Linked DNA regions of Ovis aries. The protein of the gene in region 1 binds, or shares a complex with, the protein of each later gene. Links are inferred from orthologs where the notes say so. Each region holds a gene or a part of one and is shown on either strand. Other genes may lie near its edges.

Region 1 (3,931 bases):
ACCTCCGAATCCATCCCAGCCTCAGTCAGAGATCCTGCCAGAGGCAAGGCTGGGGAGGTGGGATGGGTGAGAACACTGGCTAAGATCCTACAGCCAGGATGTTCCAAGCCTCTGGGGTCCCTTTCCCTGCCTTTGACCCCATCCAGAGTCGACTCTGTCCTTCACACACATGCACAGTCCCCCACATCCCTCTCCACTTTCACTAATCTGCTCTCCACTCTCCAGAAGACTACAGCTCAACTCCCAGCATCCTCCATTACCCCCTCCCCACTGGCCCCACCAGGCATCCCTCAGGCCCCACCCCACGCCCCCGGAGTTTCTCAGACCATCAGCCTCATAGCTTTCAAGAATCTTTATTGAACTTGTTCAGTATTGTGCTCACATCTGGAGGAGCCAGGGTGAGGTGATGCGCCCACCGCCAACAGGGAAGACCCCAGCTGGCAGCCCACCCCTGCCCCACACCTGAGGAGCCTTCATTTTTTCCGGGGCTGCTTATCAGGGAACCCTTCGAAGAACTCATTGCACATCATGGCGATGCAGGACAGGAAGACGCAGTACTCCTGGAAGTCCACCTCGTTGTCCTTGTTGCAGTCCAGGTTGCTCATCAGTTTCTGGAACGCAGCTTCATCCGTCCTTTTCTGCAGGAGGAAGAGGCTACAGGTGGAAACCGGAAGCGAGGTCGGGGTCGGGAAGTGGAGCAGAGCTAGCACCGGGTGAGGTCTGAGCTCCAGACGGGAGCTCAGGAGGACACAGGCACCCCTGCGGGGCCTGGCTCTGGACCTCCAGCCCTAGGGGCTAAGCTACCCCTCAGATGAAGTCTGAGGACCTGGGTACAACTGCGTAAAGGAGACCACAGCCTCTTCTGCCAAGGTCATTTTAAGAGTCCAATCATACAGTGGTCATGAAAGCAATAGATAAACAGCGTAAAGGTTGATACAGACGGCATCTGGGATTGCTCAAGAGAATTCTGTAAGTGTGTGAGTGTCTCCAGAGAACTGTATCTTCACGTCCACAAGCCAAACAGAAACTCAAAAATGGTTTATGGGGCGGGGGGATGGTGATAAAATAGAAATATGAGGTTAACAGATATACACTACTGTATATAAAAGAGATAAGCAACAAGGATTTACTGTATCACACAGGTAACTGTATTCAATATTGTGTAATACCTTATAATGGAAAAAAATCTGAAAAAATAGATATGTGTATATATAGCTAAATCACTTTGCTGTACACCTGAAATAAACACAGTGTAAATCAACGATATTTCAACTTAAAAAAAAAAGGCATATAACTTTCACAGAATCTTAAAAAAAAACAACAACAAGTTTCATTGCTGGAGTGATGGCAAGAGTTTGACCATCGCAGTTCATGATCTCAGCTTTAAACACGGACTTCCTTGGGAAGTTACTTAGCCTCTCTGAGCATCAGTTTCCCTCCAGGGAAGTTGTACAGAGCACCATACCCTATCTGCTCACTCTGCCCTCTTTCTGAGGGTGCTAGGAAGTGAGCTGTGGGTGCTCACCGTGCTTTGGCCCCAGGCAGCCAGGGTAAGCTCTCTGCCTGGAAATTGCCCGTGTCAGCAGCAGATGCCAGCTGTAGGTAATGCTTCACAGAGGACGGGTGCCTCCCAGGCAGTATCACTCACCCCTAAAAAGCTGGGCAGCTCCCGGGTCAGCAGCTCCTTTAGCTCAGACTTGTTGAGCTTGAACTTGTCACCCTCCTTGCCCGAGTACTTGTGGAAGGTGGACACCATCACATCGAGGGCCTTCTCCAGGGGGTACGCCATGGCAGCAATCAGGAGCTGGGGGCAGGGTCACAGAGACAACCTTATTTTCCCCACCCCACCCCCAGCTATGTATTTGTAAATGCCCCCCACTCCCATCCCTCAGGGAGCACATTGGTGACACTGCTCCCATCCAGAAAGGGGTTCAGCTCCTAGCGGGAGAGGGAAATGTATGCTTGGGGCAGTGAACCCCTGCAGGGCCTGGTGCTCAGGCTCCGGGTTCCAGGCAGCCAGCTCCCCAGGAGCACTTTCTCCACCCTCACTTGGTCCATTCACTCACTGGTACGCTCAGCCCACAGCAGCCCCACCCCAGCCCATTCTTTCCCCCTCCCAACACTGGGCTGGGTGAGGCTGCTGGAGGCTTGCCCAGGGGCCTAGCGGAAAAAACCAGTGCATAGGGAGGGGCAGGGTGAGGTGGCAGAGGCACGGATGCAGGGCAGGGACGGGGAGGCCACCCTCCCTTGGGCTGGGCTGCTGGTGCAGGACCGAGGCTCCTAGGACATAACCAGCCAGAGCCCACAGGCGCCTTCTGCCTTCACTGTGCTTTCCACATCCAAGTGTGCCACCCAGCAGACACCAGCCCACACACCCACCAGTGTGTACAGCAGCAACAACGCACGCAAGCCCCGGCATCACAGAACCCCTCAGACAGTTCCCACCAGCCACCTCACACTTGTTGTTCTTTCCTGAGTGCACACGCACTTGTGCACACGCACACCACCCACCCCAGAGCCTCCACATCGGAATCTCACATCTGGACCCGTTTAGTGCCTCTGGCCCCCATCCACCTCCCTTTCTCCTGCACCCAGCCTCGGCCTGACACCTCTTGCATGCCAGTCAGGCGACCACAACTCACCAAGAGAGAGGAAGTGCTGGGGAGAGATGATGGGGAGAGAGGAAGAATGGGGAGAACCCAGCAGTCTGACCTATTTATACCCGGGCCAGGCCCTGCCCATGGCAGGGGATGCGGGAGAACAGGACCCAGCCCTCCTATCGTGGGCTGATGTGGTGAACGCCACGGCCCCCCTCCACCCCCCTCCACCCGCCCAGCCTGGAAAGCTAGCTTCCTGCCCCAGCAGGCACAGACGGACATGGGAGAGCCCCAGGGGCACAGGCAGGGGCCTGGAGGGTGGGTGTGCACAGCTCAGCTCGAGTTTTAGGGAGCTGGGGGGAGGGACAGGTTGTGCCTGGGGCATGAGGGACAAGGAGGACGTGGTCCCACCAGGCAGCCAGCATAGAGGGGTGGAAGGTGGCAGGTGGGAAACTGCCCTGGGATGCGGCAGCCTGAGAAGACAGGGAGGGCCCCTCAGTTTCGGTGCTGGGGACGGCTCACGCTGCCCTGCACCCCTCCCCAAAGAGCTTCCTACCTTGTGGAGTGAGCCCCGGGACAGTGGGAGCTGGGGGTCTGGGAGGAGGAACTGGCTAACACCCAAAGGAGGCTTGGGGACCCCCCGCAGGCACATCCTTGCAGAAAGGCGCTGGATGCCAGAGTGATGGAATGGGGAAGGAGAGGCATGCCTTGGGGCTCAGGGATGGACTGAAGGGACCGAGAGCAGTGGGGTGGCAGAGGGCGTTGGGAGGGGGCTTAGATTTGGCAGAGGGCTTTGGGAGGGGGCTTAGATTTGGGCTGGGTGTCAGGGATGAAGAGGGCAGGGAGCGGAGGAAAGTTAGAGGTGATGCAGCACAAAATGAGGGGAGGCAAGGATCAAGGGAACCTCCCAGGGTAAGGTATGAGCTCAGGGGTTGAGGGAGGGTCAGGAGTCGGGGGTTAACCCCTCAGGTGGCTGTGGCTTCAAGGAGAGGGGTCTGCCTGAAGGTCTCTCTCCTTCCCCCTTCAGCAGCAGAGCACCCCTCCCCAAATGATCAGGGAGCAACACCCTAGTCCAACCCCTGATCAGATTAGTGCTGCACTCTGGGCTCTCATAGCCCAGGGGCCGGGGACAGACCCGCCCTCTCCCCTACGGCCCCACCCTCCTCCCAGAACATCTGGTCTGGGGGACTGAGTTTGACCCTCCTCTCACCTCCTTCACAGCCCAAGGGAGCTTCTTCTTCAGAGACCTGCCCGATACAGACAGACAGACAGACAGAGAGCCCCCCCCGCAAACCATCCTCCCATGGGCATCGTCCCCGAGTTGCCCCCATGCC
Region 2 (3,500 bases), on another chromosome or scaffold:
TGAACAATGCTTAAAAAAAAATCTGTTTTGACTTCTGGCAGTACCACTGGCAATATCTGCCGTATGGTACAGTAGACATTGCCCTTGTGATGGGAACTGTGGACAGTCTGTGGAGAGCTTGGGCCAAGTTTGAAATTGCCAAGGTCACTTTTAAATATAGAGAAAAAACACTCAGAATTTTCCTGTGTTAAAATGGGCATATCAGTGATGCAAGAAAACAAATCTATGTTGCTGTACCTATTTTACATTTCAACAATGTTAAGAAATAACATTTCTTCCAATGCATGAGTTATTTTTTAGACTATATTTACATCCTCGAGATTGACAAACTGCCCCTTAAAATATGTGAAGATGCTTGGTAGTCTCTGTATAATATTCTTATAGAATGTTGTGTAGACCTTTTGCTAAGGGAAGGAATTTTGGTTTTGCAAGCACCTCTACAAATCATGATTAAAAACTCTGGGAGAAGAGGCTTTGGCTCATAGATTAGATTGAGGAATAAAATTCAGAATTAACTATTAACCTGAGGCTTAGCTCATATTATACAAACTACTTTTTCAGGGGCACATAAACTCTAATAAGTTTAATTAATAGCTGACACACTTCTCATGTGGATAAGTAAGTTTCTTATTGTATTAACACCTTATAATTGATTTACATTTTAAACAGTGGTAATTCTGCTTAGTTCAAAGTGATATTTCCATATTCGGAAAGATGAGTATTAGAGAATCCTGATTATTAAATCTTGACTTTGATCATGAAGCCAGCTTTGAAATACATGTTTCACTGAGTCCTTTCAAGCTATCTGGCACGCCAGCTCAAAAGTGTATATATTAAATTTGAATACATCACCCATCAAATTCTCATTCCTTAATAAAGTGTTGGTGTCTAGGTTTATTTGGCGCTTCATTATTTCCTTTTGCTTCTCTAAAATGCCTGAAGAGTGCATAGTAATCAAGCAAAAATGGAAGTACAAGAATGAAATTTTTAACATTAACCCAGTTTTACATTTCAAAGAGGTAAAGCTAAAAATTTTATCTTATCTATACCTTTCCCTCATAAAAGACTTATTTCAGTCTAACAATGCTGGCTGCCAACAACAGCTCAAAATCTCTATATTCCTTTATTTTAAATTAATGAGCAGAATTGTGTAATAAAGTAAATGATTTCTTATCTGTGAAAATAATGGCTGATTATTAGAGGAGTTGAAAAATAAAGAAACAAAGAGAAGATGAAGTTATTCATTTTATAAACCCATCGCCAAAAAGGGCTGTATTCTAACATGTTGGTATATTCCATTACTGTCTCTTCCCATTTAACTATATGTTTATATATAGTGGGGAAATATATATATATATATATATGTGTGTGTGTGTGTGTGTGTGTGTGTGTGTGTGTGTGTGTGTATGTGTATATATATATATATATATATATAGTTGAGCTAAAAATAAAAAATGCCAGTTAAACTGTCCTTTATTCTAGTAAAGCTTTTTTTTTTTTTTAAAGGAATAGAATATAACATTACCTTGTGCCAAGGACTCAGTACAGATCCCTCAGGAGGAATGCAGAAAGGGACGCACTGTAGACCGAACTCATGCGTGCAGTTTACCTGATTGAGTTCAGAGAAGTGGGCTAGTGGCCGGGAGGGGTTTCCCTGCTAATGTCTGTGCTGCCTGGTTCCCAGGGGCTGGGGACTGATGAGGACTCTCTCATTGAGATCATCTGCTCAAGGACCAACCAGGAGCTGCAGGAGATCAACAGAGTCTACAAGGAAAGTGAGTAGCCCCAGGTCCATGGTGCATCCACTCCACCTTGTGTCTGGGACCACTGTCCTGGCCTCCTGGTCTGGTGTTCAGGATAGGATCCCTTGATTCCATGTGTAGAAATACCTGCCATCTGGACTGTCCAGGGGTTTGCTGTGACCAGGTCACTCTCCTCCATCTCCTGATAGCCTGGTCTTTGTGACTACATCCCCCTAAAACTAGTTCAGAAGGATATATGGGAGGGAAAGCAGAGACTATCAAACAAAAGAGATCTGATGGGGAGAAGTAGAAAGTATCCCCCGTGGATTTCATGTACTGAGTGCTGTCCTGTGTCTGCTGAGGCGATTCCCAGACTTGACTGTGGGTCATTGTTTCAAGAGACAGCAGAACCACGTGTGCCAAGCAGTAGAGGAGGCCAGAGGTGGAGTGAGTGATGCAGCATGCCTGGTGTGCGGTACTTCATTTCAACATAGGTGTTGAGTAGGAAAATACAAATTCATTCAAAAGTACCCTTTAATTCTTACTAATTTTTTGCCATTGTGCATTTTCTCAATCAGTGGATATAAAGCACAATTGTGTTTGTGTGTGTGTAGTCCTCCAAATTTTTTCATGTTCTAAATAAGTATAATCAAGAAGTTTGGGAAGTAGTATTTTAGCTAGACAGGAGGTCCCTAATCAAAGGCGAGCTTGAGAATTCCCTGTCTGATCCTGCTCTGTGTATTGCTTGTCACTGATAATAATATAATAATACTAGTTCTGATTTTATGAGGGTAAAATTCCTTCTTGAGAATCCACCCTCATTTTTAGGGGTACATCCACGCTGCCACAGATTTCTGCTTTTCAGAGGCTTAGTGGGCAGAGGATGGGTAGGGTGGCTGGCTGCGTAGGCAGGAGGTGTTAAACCAGATGTGTTGTTTTCCAAGTGTACAAGACCGATCTGGAGAAGGACATTGTTTCCGACACATCTGGCGACTTCCGCAAGCTGATGGTCGCCCTCGCAAAGGTTAGTTTCCGGCTCGTTTCTTTGTCCTTGCTTCCTCCCAAAGCAAGTTACATACCTCATTTTATACTCGGGAGCGAATTAACTCAGTCCTCTGGGCCTGCATCAGAAATTCCAGCTGTATTTTGACAGTGGGTTTGCACTGTCAACTGCAGAGTTGTCATTTTTGTATAATAGGATTTCTTATCCTGCAAAACCGTATGGTCAGGTGGACTTTGGGGCCAGAGGTGGAAGAGGCAGCTCTTAGCTCCTGGCCTGGATTTCTGTGCCAGCCTTGTGACTTGGGGAAAGTCATTTTGCCTCTCTATGTTGTCACATAGGACCCAGTGGGAAGTGACCCTCTTGTTTCTTTCACCTGTTATAATTTCTTAGGGGATGGTTTGCCCAGGTAGTGGTTTGCCTGGGGAGAAGCTCTTTGCTTGTTTGCCAAGGTTAACACATTAATGTAGCTGAAAGGCACTTCCCTTCTAAGTCTGAGTTCTGACCCATGTGCAGTTTAATGACTCTGAGCGCTGCAAGGGAAGAGGAATTTTCATCCAGGAACCCTGAAGACAAGTGGGCACACTCCATCCTGGCCACCTACACCTCCATTCCGCCCTCCCCAGCTCCCTTCTCTACCACCTGCCCTGAGTCTGGTCACCTACCCATCATTTTGAAATCTACTTGTACTGTTTTACTCATACCCTGATCAAAACTCATTTCTGCTGTATCACATACAAACCCTCAACTGCCTCAGG
Region 3 (3,500 bases), on another chromosome or scaffold:
CCAATCACAGCAATTCTTTCTTTTATAAAATTTCATGGCTACAGGTATGCTTTTTAAAAATAGATTTTATTTGGGGGTGCATTTTTAAGTTAATAAGAAAATTGAGCAAAAGTTGTAGTGATTTCCCAAGAACCCGCCATTAGCAACTGCCCCCACAAGAGTGATACATTTGTTACAACTCATGAAGCTGCTCTAATGTTCGATTATCACCCTAAGTCCAGAGCACATTTGTGTTTCTACTTTGATATTGTAATCATGGACTGTAGCATTTTATTTCCTTTTTGTTTTTTCATTTAACATTTCAATAAAAAAAAATGTTTAAAGCACTGAATTTGGAAAATGAAATTTTTCCTCTGTGAGGCTTTTGAAGTCTCCTAGTGGAATAGCCCTTAAGTCTTCCAGATGCCTCAGTGTCTTTGCCAAGAAGAGCTCCTAAGGGGCTATGATTGTCACCAGCAGGACTGGCTTCGGCTGCATCTCTCTAAGCCTTTTCTGCAGACTCTGCTCTCTGAAGGTGACAGCAACCTCATCCTGACGTTGGTGCTCTCTTTGGCAGAGTGGAAGAAGAAACCACCCAGAAGAACATGGCCCTGAAGAAGATTCGGGAGCTGGAATCTCAGATTTCGGAACTCCAAGAAGACCTGGAATCTGAGCGTGCTGCTAGGAATAAAGCCGAGAAGCAGAAACGAGACCTCGGGGAAGAGCTGGAGGCTCTGAAAACGGAGCTGGAGGACACTCTGGATTCCACAGCTGCGCAGCAGGAGCTCAGGTGTGCCTTGGGGCTGACTGCCTTGTCACTGAGGATGGGGGTGGTGGTGCAGGGAAAGGGGGCCCCTGGCCTCAGAGGGGGGACCCCAGGGCCTCTGCACACACACAGTGTGGCCTGTTGTCATGGAGCCTGGAAGCTCCAGGAGATAGTGAGGGACTGGGAGGCCTGGTGTGATGTAGTCCGTGGAGTTGCAAAGTGTCAGACACAGTTTAGTGAGTGAACAACAAGAACAGATGGAAGCTGATGGTGCCTCAGCAGCTTCTCTCTAGAGCTGAAGAACCTGGCTTGGAGTTGGGCTGAGGCAAGGGTGGGCTTTAAGGCTGAAAGGCTGCGGAAGCCCCTACAAGGTGTGTCTGTGGGGACTTCCTGGCTCCCTAGTGGTTAAGACTCTGTGCTTCCACTGCAGCGGGCATGGTTCAGTCGCTGGTTGGGGAGCTAAGCTCCAGCATGCTTTGTGGTGCAGCCAGAAAAAAATCTTATAAATTACTCTTGGCTCCCCATATTTAGAATAAAATCCAATTCCTTGCATAAAAGGTCTATATTACATTTTTTTTTTTAATGGAGAGAAAAAAAGTGTGTCTGTGAGCCTGTGCTATAGGATGGACAGCTGAGGAGGGAAGCCAGCAGGCAGAAAGCTGCCTGGAATGGCCAGTGCTCCCCACCGGACTCTGTGCTGCCAGGGCAGCGTCGCTCCTGGGCCCTGGCCTCCCTCCTGAAGGCATTTCTCTGTTCAGGTCCAAACGTGAACAAGAAGTGAACATCCTGAAGAAGACTCTTGAGGAGGAGGCCAGGACCCATGAGGCCCAGATCCAGGACATGAGACAGAAGCACTCGCAGGCCGTGGAGGAGCTGGCTGAGCAGCTGGAGCAGACGAAGCGGGTGCGTGGGCCCCCCGGGACCATGAGGCTCGGCCACTGTGGGCGGGGGGGAGGGTTGGGGGACCCTCGCGTAGTCCAGGCTCCAGCCCTTCCTGACTGCGTGCCTTGGGGGCCATACAGGTCCCTCTGTGCTTCAGTTTCCTCTTCTGTGAGGGAGGCTAGTGAGAGCCCGTTGCATGCAATTACGTGAGAGTTGGAGTTGGTAACATGTGACAGTGCACAGTTGGTAAGGGCTCAGTAAGTTGTTCTAGTCTTACCATTATTATCCTGTTCAACACCCTGCCAGACCAAAGTTTCATGGAATTGGAGTGACTCTGAAACAAGTCTCAGAGGCCACTGGGTCCCTTTCCTGAAGCCCAGCCCTTCTTTAGAACACCTCCAACACATGGTCAACTGGAATCTTCAGGGAGAACCCTGGGGATGTTGACCCGGCTGGTTTCTCAGCCAGGGGACTGTGACCAGGCAGTTCCTGAACAAGCCCAGTCCTGCCTCCTGTGGTTTCCAGCTCACGGCCACCCTTGTTGGTAGCCCAAGAAGACAGAGGCTCTTCTGTGTGGCAGCCTGTACAATATTTTCAGAAACATGCCTTGTCCCTCTGTTTCCCTTTGACTTCCTCCTGGTTCTGGGCAGGTTGAAGCCTTGCCTTTTCCTCTAGCTGTTTTCACCCAAAGAGCTTTTGCATGCACTTGGGGTCTGGTTTACCCTTGAACTTGCCTTTGATACTGTGACTGGCTTGATATAGAATAGATTGGGATTGTGTTTGTTCTGTAAACTTGGCTTTTATATTTTTTGGAAGAACATTTCAGTGTTATGGTGAACATCAAATTTCTAAGAGGCTTTCCTGGAAGTCTAACTATGAACAGTTACAGTTTCCCTAAGCCTATAATAACAATGCTAAAATCTTAACATCAGCGATGACAGTGTCTTGCCCTTGGACATTCCCTGTGCCCTGTGCGGGAGGCCAGGCAGGGATGGTTTGAGAGCCAGGGGAGCAGTGGTCCTCAGGTGAGGCCACGCGCCAGGCGTCCTGTCCCAGCTGGGTGATGAGTCCACATCCGGCCTGAGCCCTCCAAGTCCACGGTCCTCGCCAGCTCGCTGCCCCCTGGACTTGCCTGGTGTCACTTTTGCTGCAGGGCGGCAGATTCCGAGTCTGGCTCCACTGGCTCTTTGATGATGTTGGGAAAACCAGCCTCATGTCACAGGCTCCCCCTTTTATGTCTTTGCTTTCTCCCCTCGCAGGTGAAAGCCAACCTCGAGAAGGCCAAGCAGACCCTGGAGAATGAGCGAGGGGAGCTGGCCAACGAGGTGAAGGTGCTGCAGCAGGGCAAGGCGGACACCGAGCACAAGCGCAAGAAGGTGGAGGCCCAGCTGCAGGAGCTGCAGGTGAAGTTCACCGAGGGCGAGCGTGTGCGCACAGAGCTGGCCGACAAGGTCTCCAAGCTGCAGGTGAGGCCCCCACCGGACTGCCTGGGTCCTGGCCCCTGCTGCCAGGGCCCCTGGTCTTCTCTCGCTCTCTCCATGACCCGGCTCATCTGTGAGCCCCCTGGGGTTCAGCCTGTAGCTCAGGTCCAGCATGGCTGAGAGAGCCGAGGTAGGCCCTGAGCAATCCTGGTCAAGCTCATGGGGCTTTGTCTCCCGTCCACGCACAGGTCGAGCTGGACAATGTGACGGGTCTTCTCACCCAGTCGGACAGCAAGTCTAGCAAGCTCACCAAGGACTTCTCTGCTCTGGAGTCACAGCTGCAGGACACACAGGTAAGGGCAGCGATGCCCCCCCACCGCAGCTAAGGACCCTGTGCCCACACGGCCTTAGCTGCCAGGCCTCTGGGTCTTCCTCACAGTGTCCTCCCCCAG

Evidence for each region. The genes of interacting proteins can lie anywhere in the genome.
Region 2: the proteins of S100A4 (region 1) and ANXA2 are in contact, whole or in part, in a crystal structure (PDB 5LPU), measured with the Homo sapiens proteins. The link is inferred for Ovis aries from reciprocal best matches to the Homo sapiens genes S100A4 and ANXA2. Residues at the interface, in NP_002952.1 of Homo sapiens: Lys35, Leu38, Pro43, Ser44, Phe45, Leu46, Gly47, Lys48, Arg49, Thr50, Asp51, Ala54, Phe55, Lys57, Leu58, Asn61, Leu62, Gln73, Phe78, Cys81, Ile82, Met84, Met85, Glu88, Phe89, Phe93; in NP_001002857.1 of Homo sapiens: Leu13, Glu14, Pro21, Ser22, Ala23, Tyr24, Ser26, Val27, Lys28, Tyr30, Thr31, Asn32, Phe33, Glu36, Arg37, Leu40, Thr44, Gln69, Asp70, Phe73, Arg77, Arg78.
Region 3: the proteins of S100A4 (region 1) and MYH9 are in contact, whole or in part, in an NMR structure (PDB 2LNK), measured with the Homo sapiens proteins. The link is inferred for Ovis aries from reciprocal best matches to the Homo sapiens genes S100A4 and MYH9. Residues at the interface, in NP_002952.1 of Homo sapiens: Leu38, Ser44, Phe45, Leu46, Gly47, Lys48, Arg49, Thr50, Asp51, Ala54, Phe55, Lys57, Leu58, Asn61, Leu62, Ser64, Gln73, Glu74, Cys76, Val77, Phe78, Ser80, Cys81, Ile82, Met84, Met85, Cys86, Glu88, Phe89, Phe90; in NP_002464.1 of Homo sapiens: Thr1906, Ala1909, Met1910, Glu1913, Val1914, Ser1915, Leu1917, Lys1918, Lys1920, Leu1921, Arg1922, Asp1925, Leu1926, Pro1927, Phe1928, Val1929, Val1930, Pro1931, Arg1932, Met1934, Ala1935.

The regions. Positions count from the first base shown.
Region 1 is NC_056054.1:104,001,921-104,005,851, forward strand, and holds S100A4 (protein S100-A4), read right to left. Parts: upstream 2,801-3,931; 5' UTR 2,643-2,800; intron 1,805-2,642; 5' UTR 1,790-1,804; coding exon 1,649-1,789; intron 639-1,648; coding exon 474-638; 3' UTR 338-473; downstream 1-337. UniProt on the Homo sapiens protein: Calcium-binding protein that plays a role in various cellular processes including motility, angiogenesis, cell differentiation, apoptosis, and autophagy.
Region 2 is NC_056060.1:48,019,923-48,023,422, forward strand, and holds part of ANXA2 (annexin A2), read left to right. Parts: intron 1-1,684; coding exon 1,685-1,775; intron 1,776-2,686; coding exon 2,687-2,766; intron 2,767-3,500. UniProt on the Homo sapiens protein: Calcium-regulated membrane-binding protein whose affinity for calcium is greatly enhanced by anionic phospholipids. It binds two calcium ions with high affinity. May be involved in heat-stress response.
Region 3 is NC_056056.1:180,372,925-180,376,424, reverse strand, and holds part of MYH9 (myosin-9), read left to right. Parts: intron 1-556; coding exon 557-769; intron 770-1,503; coding exon 1,504-1,648; intron 1,649-2,886; coding exon 2,887-3,093; intron 3,094-3,296; coding exon 3,297-3,401; intron 3,402-3,500. UniProt on the Homo sapiens protein: Cellular myosin that appears to play a role in cytokinesis, cell shape, and specialized functions such as secretion and capping. Required for cortical actin clearance prior to oocyte exocytosis. Promotes cell motility in conjunction with S100A4.